Linked DNA regions of Sus scrofa. The protein of the gene in region 1 interacts with the protein of each later gene in a pairwise test. Links are inferred from orthologs where the notes say so. Each region holds a gene or a part of one and is shown on either strand. Other genes may lie near its edges. The genes, in order: ZBTB25 and SEPHS1.

The links.
Region 2: the proteins of ZBTB25 (region 1) and SEPHS1 interact in binary tests that used the Homo sapiens proteins (3 or more experiments, as listed by UniProt). The two-hybrid records come from large-scale screens. The link is inferred for Sus scrofa from reciprocal best matches to the Homo sapiens genes ZBTB25 and SEPHS1.

Annotation. Positions count from the first base shown.
Region 1 is NC_010449.5:88,561,339-88,565,165, forward strand, and holds part of ZBTB25 (zinc finger and BTB domain-containing protein 25), read right to left. Parts: intron 2,757-3,827; exon of another isoform or gene 2,741-2,756; coding exon 2,561-2,740; intron 1-2,560. UniProt on the Homo sapiens protein: May be involved in transcriptional regulation.
Region 2 is NC_010452.4:48,383,204-48,386,435, reverse strand, and holds the end of SEPHS1 (selenide, water dikinase 1), read right to left. Parts: intron 2,512-3,232; coding exon 2,297-2,511; 3' UTR 653-2,296; downstream 1-652. UniProt on the Homo sapiens protein: Synthesizes selenophosphate from selenide and ATP.

The DNA.
Region 1 (3,827 bases):
TAGTATCCATGAGGACACTGGTTCAAGCCTTAACCTCACTCAGTGGGTTAAGGATCCAGCGTTGCCGTGAGCTGTGGTGTAGATCGCAGATGTGGTTCAGATCCTGCATTGCTATGGCTGTGGTGTAGGCTGGCAGCCGCAGCTCCAATTTGATCCCTGGCCAGGGAACTTCCATATGCCTCCGCGTGGCCCTAAAAAGCAAAACAAAACAAACAAACAAAAAATTAAAATGGAAAACTTTATGTTTATATGTATTTTACAATAATGAAAAATTTAAAAGGGTCTATTGGGATTGGTCCTTCTTAGATTTAAATTACACTAAGTTTATTTCGGCTTTCAAACTATACTAGTATATCTGCTCTAAATAACAAATGAATAGAGGTGTAACTTTGAAAAGCTTTAAATTAACCTCAAGCTCAATTTTCACATATGAATCTAGAATTCAGAAAATAGATGAGAATAACTGCCCAACAAGAAATCAGGAAACACCCTGCAAAATTAGGATCAAGACAACCTGAGGGAAACGTTGGATGACAGGGAACAATGGAATCAGTCAATGAACTTACTTACATTCCTTGAAGCAAAAGTCTGTGTCTATGCATCAGAAAGCACTGAATGTCACTATGCTGGCAATCCATTTCTTTAGTCCTGACATCTTAAGACTCCCTCTTGGGTTTCACACTTACCTCTGACCCCCTCACTGCCATGATTTGTGGCAGGTTTATTTATATATATATATATCAGCACAGAGCTTTGTTAACTGAGGATTTTTAATTGCTCAACAGAGATACCACAAAGCAGACCTGCCACCTTTGTATGTCCTGGGTTTAGTTTAGCACGGTGTCTGTTACACAGCATGTGCTTAAGAGCTGAACCAACTCACAGCTCTTGGATGAGACTTATGTGAAGGCAGTGTTTCTAATTTAGCTTCTACACAATCTCAAGTCAGAAAGGAAACTTTTTCTTTTTTTTTTTTTTTTTTTTTTTTTTTGCTTTTTAGGGCTACATTCATGGCGTATGGAGGTTCCCAGGCTAGGGGTCTAATCAGAGCTACAGCTGCTGGCCCATGCCACAGCCACAGCAATGCCAGATCCGAGCCGGGTCTTCGACCTACCCCACAGCTCATGGCAATGCCAGGTCCTTAACCCACTGAGTGAGGCCAGGGATAGAACCCACAACCTCATGGTTCCTAGTCTGATTCATTTCCACTGCGCCACAATGGGAACTCCCAGAGGAAACTCTTTTGTGTGGCCGAAAAAGGTACCCATGACCTGTCCTCTCCGACAAACTCCTCCCCTTTATGTCATATATTCTAATCATTCTGATCTACTCCATTTTCTGAATGTGCTAGCCTGGTTCATATCTGTTCATATCTTCTTTTCCATGCATTTTTTTTCCTCTTCCTGCAACGTACCATTCTACATTCCTCTACAGCATCTGAAAAACTAAACTCCTCTTGCTCCTTCAAGATCCAGAGCCTCTCTAAAGCCTGTTCTGACCTTCTCAAAAGGCTGCTGACAATCCACTCTACCTTGTACAGGACTTCTATTATAGACATAAGTAATCATTAATAGTAGCAGCTAACAGTGCAAAGCTCTGTTCTAAGCATTTTAATATTATTAATGCATTTACTCTTCTCAACACCATGGGGTAAGTATACTATTCTGGTGTTTTACAGAGAAGGAAACAGGCACAGAGAGATCAATGATACTGCAATTATTTTCTTTACATACATTATCTCTCTCTTAGACTATAAACTTCTTGAGAGCAGGGAGCATAACTTGTTACTGGGGTCTACCCCAGTAGCTGACCTTAAAGTACTCAATAAACAGTTAAACGAATGAATAATTAAATTAAAATAATTGAGGCTAAACTCCTAATTATTTCACGTAAGTTCGTTTGAAAAAACAAAGAGTGTCCTATCACTTTTAACTGGGGATGTATTAAAGCTATTCTTCACTAAGAGCTCAGAATCTGAATACCACTTTATGGCCCTCTCCCTAGATACCTATCATGTGGGGTAATTGAAATTCAAAATAACTTGTTGGAAAAAAATTGGAAACAAATAATCTTTGAACTATAATATGGAATATAAGGTGGGTAGAGTTAAGACACTAAAACCTTGTTATGCAAGTGTTATGGGACAGAAATCAAAAACTTAGTGATTAAAAGCACAGATTTACATTTGAGTTTATTGGCTGCCTAATCCTGGATGGACAAGTTACTTAACAACTCAGTTACAGTCTCCTTTTCTCTAAAACAGTATGGGTAACAGTAGAATTTACATTAGGTAAACACTTAATGTTTGTATTTGAAGGAATAAGCTTTCAAACTTTAGTTGTTTTTAAATTTTAGCTATTATTGTTTTCATTCTTATCTTCCTCCATGGATCCTACACACTGAGCTTAATTAAAGATGTGTAAAAATATATATATACATAAATTTTTATTATTTCCTAAGATGATCCCTTAACAAAGAATCCCCAAAACGATGTTATAATAAGGTTTAACTATATCACAGTATTAAAAAATTCTTCTGATTTATAAAAGCACATCCTTACCTTGTTTGGTGAATAAATATCATCTTAAAATAGTTAGAAAAAGCAGCAAGCACTGCTCTGTGGGCTTTGAAGTAGACATCTCCAATAGCAACGGTGCAATCACACAGAAAACCAAATTCTCGTTGCATGTTTAGCTGCTGCAGAAGGACAAGGCTATGGCTAGCTGTGTCCATTGTGGCTCTAAGAAAAAGAAAGACTATTTTAAAAATAAAACCGGCTAGGAATTCCCGTCGTGGCACAGTGGTTAACGAATCTGACTAGGAACCATGAGGTTGCGGGTTCGATCCCTGCCCTTGCTCATTTGGTTAAGGATCTGGCGTTGCCGTTAGCTGTGGTGTAGGTTGCAGATGCGGCTCGGATCCTGCGTTGCTGTGGCTCTGACGTAGGCTGGCAGCTACAGCTCCAATTAGACCCCTAGCCTGGGAACTTCCCATATGCCGCGGGAGCGGCCCAAGAAATGGCAAAAAGACAAAAAAAAAAAAAAATTAAAAATAAATAAATAAAACTGACTATGGTTCACACAAACCTACAGAGTACAAGGAGACCTAAATTTAAATGAAATTATTCAACGTTTTCAAAACTGTTCATTTTACCCCAAACCTAGCTAACATTAAATATCCCATCATGACAACCGACATCACCCCTGCTGAAATGATAAAATGTGGCCTTTTTAAAATCTGGTAAGAGGGTAGCTTGGTAAGGGTGACAAAGATGTGAAAGGAAGCCTGTCCTTTGCTATCTACATGACTACAATGTTTCTAGTCCTGTTTCCTCACTGGAAAAATGGGAATGAGGTACTTATCCTTGCCTCAGAGCCAAATGAGATAAGTTATGTGAAAAGCATCTTGTAATGGAAACTGCTATTCAAGTGTTAGCTATAAATGTTAATAACGTTATACTGTGTCCTGGCTGGGCTACGGCTGTGTTTACTCCTTAGGAATCCTGTGTGCTCAGGAGACGCTGGCCTCCTAACTACCATACAATATTTGGGAAACTGATCAGTCACAGGAAGTCCAGGAGCCCTTAAGTAGATGTCAAACCACATCCCCAGATTCTTATGGGGCTTGGAGCCCCAGAGGAAAAAAAACCTAAGCCCTGATCTTAACTGGACTCAAGACACATATAAGCATGGAGGTTTCCAAAGAAGCAGAAGATGGGACCACTGGTCTCAGGGGATGAAAATCACACACATGGAAGAACATGCAAAAGAATTCTGGCAGAGAAGCCAACTGTGAGCAACAAGACATACATGAGCACCCTGGGTGAG
Region 2 (3,232 bases), on another chromosome or scaffold:
GTTAAGTCTTTGGAGCATTAATATCTATGCTTGCTTTATTACCTCTAAAAATAAAGCATAGTATAGCATAGCCATTCTGGACTCTCCTTACAGAGTAACACAGTAAACTAGGAATTCAGACGTAATTCTTTTAAGGGCAATGCTCAGTTCAGACCAGAACTTTTGGCTCACATGACACCAGAACCATTTAAAACACTCGCACTCATTCAGCGTAAGGCAGGCAGAACTTAGATACGAGCTTCTCTTTGGTGAGCTTAGCTAGTCACTTAGGGTGCCCATGTAAGAGATTCCCTAGTCTGGCATCCTGAACATTCTGTCTGATTCTGTGGTCTTGGGGTGGGGCCCCCGATTCTGACTTTGACAAGCATCCCCAGGCGATTAACACAGGTGTGATCTGGACCACTCTCTGAGAAACACCCCTTTAATGCTCAGTTCTTCCTTCTCCATTACAAGGACCTCTAAGCACCCAGAATTTTCTCTTTCTAAACATGAATCTTCACTATGGTCACTATGGTTTCCTCGAGTGCACCATCTGATCAGCTGAGGAAACCATCAGCATTCAAGACAGGATCCACATGGGAAGTTCACATTTAGCCATCACTCCTGTATTTGAAGAGGAAAAGAAAAAAGCTCAACAGTATGTTCATCTCACTCAGAGGTTTCCAACACATTTTATTTTGCAGACCACTGGTTTGCAGCTTTTGAGACTAACATGGGTATCAATCCCTGTGAAGTGTCCAATGAATTTCAGTTCTGCGGCAGCCCTCAGTCCCGAGCACTCAGCTTGGGGCTTGAGTTCCAGTTACACGTGTGAAGAGGATGCATCCGAGGCAGAAGCCCTTCAGGGCCTTGGTCTCCCAAGTGGTGGTTTCCTTTGGCAAGAAGTCAGGCTGTTCTCTCCACTTTGGTGCCTGCAAACGGGAAGCGTTCAGAATGGGCGACGCCAGCGAATGTGGACACTTGAGAAGTCAGTGCACTTGTGCTTGAGGACGGGGTCCCTCCTAGACGCTTAGTAGGTGAAAATATAAGGAAGCCTCTGTTTTTAAGTAACACAGATAAACACCTTTTTAGGTCACCTATTTGTTCTAGAGCTACAAAATTTAATTCAAGAAAATATAGGTCCCATGAAAGACTTAAAAGTTTTATAAAACTAAAATCTAGTTTTCCCCCAATAAATTGTATTTTAGCCAAAACCCTCCCAATGCTTCTAAAATAATACTAAAAAGGGCATCTGATTATACAAGAGCAATAAAAAAAATTAAATATTTATTTGAATAACAAGTTGAAGTTTCAAGCTGCACAGTTGGTGATGCGTTTCCACACAGATCATAGAAAGCGTGCACGGAAAAGTACTGGTGCAAAGGACAAAATAATGCTAAGAATGAAGCTGAGTAGCTGCTGATTTTAAGAAAACAAGAGGCCTGACATCACTATACAAAATATAAAATGTATTAAACACTACCATCCACAGAAGTCTTTATTATTGATTATATTTAAAATTATTTGTGTAGTTAATTATATATTGGCTTGTAAATGAGTATCATACACGGACCCCCCCCCTTTCAGAGGGCAATTCTTTGCTGCACTACCAAACATCTAATTACACTGCAAAAAGTGTCCATTGTAAAGAAAACAGTTAATGATATTACTGTTAAGTATTAAGAAGGCTAACAAAAAAAGAAATAACATTTCTTTTTTGTTTTCAAAGTGCTTTCCATGCAGAGTTGAGCACTTGCCTTGTTTAACTGAATGCACTCTTGGGAAACGGCCTGGGTCAGAGATGCTCTTGCATTAGAAGACTCGAAGGAATCATGCAACCCTCTCACTACTGGGGTACCCTTGTGTCAGTCACCAATCCTGTCCTTCCAGAATATCATTCCAGACACTTCAAAAAGGATCAGACCGATAATGATAAATATACATAAACTGAAAAGACACAGACTGCTATTCAACACTACGACGCATAATGTCTGTGCTACGTGAAAGCACCTTTAAAAAGAGCCTACTCGGCAAGAGATAAGTGTCTAAAGATTCAAAATGAATCAACAGTATTGGATAACAATATAATTCTCAACTCAGAAGCTGCCTCAAGATTAGGTGCATCTTCAGTTAATGTAACAGGAAAAAAAGGCAATGGATTTTATTTTATTAATTGCATCCACTCACAAATCGACCTAAGGTCACCAGATGTGTAGACACAATGAGATTTTTTTCGTTGTTGTTTATAGTCTTTAATTGAAATGATAAAGGAAATAGAGCTATTTAAAACCAAAACCACACGTGGACCCGGCCGAGATTAAGAGGTGGCGCCCGGTGTGGGGTTCACATTCTGGGTGGCCACCTGTGGCGCGACCTCGATGATCCGGGGTTTGTCTATGATCCTGGCTGTGCGGTTCCCCTTCTCCACGATCCCAATAATCCACGCTTGGTGACCTTCACCATATTTGGGGGACTTGATCTCTGCGCAGAACCGAGCGGCTTGCTCTCGCGGTAAACAGATTAGAAGGCCCCCTGGCAAAGGAAACAAGAAAAAAGGATCATGTTAGTTGTGTCGCCATGAGAGTGCTGTCCCTGCCGCTGTCTCTCTCCAAGACTCTGCACTGATATGGCTGGGCTGCCCTCACCTTGTCGGCAGATCACACAGTCATTGAGCAAGTGCTCGGTCAGCTTATCCTGTTTCAACACACACCCGACAACAAACTCCCAGCTGTGGAAATGCCCCAGCTGTGAGTCACCTGAGGCCGTGTGGGGTGTGGGGGTGAGGTGTTTGGGGACCCAGTAACATCTGAGTGGCCATCTTTCCCAGGCTACACTGAAAGGATTTTTTAAAAACAAGAACGAACTTCTCCTTTTCAATTGGATTCTCTACATTTTACCACAAAGAGTATTCATATTTCTTCTCTTTCATATATTTATCTTTTAATTTAAAAATTAAGGTCATGAAAGTGTGCCTCTTAGTGGTTGGGTCCTGTCACTAGCTCTGTCATTATCTTCAAAAGAGAAAAAAAATATATAAAATACACGAAAACAAATCTTCATTGCTAGTTGAGTAGCTAGGCTAGAATATTCTATGTATTTGTTAAAAGAAGGAACACAATTAGGAAAAGATACATGTTAGACTTACATAAAAAAAGGAGTAACTTCTCAATTTTGAATAGAGACAAACTGCCTTAGTTGGGAATATTCATTAGTTCATTCACACGGATTCCAGGCCCAACCAGGTGGCAAACAC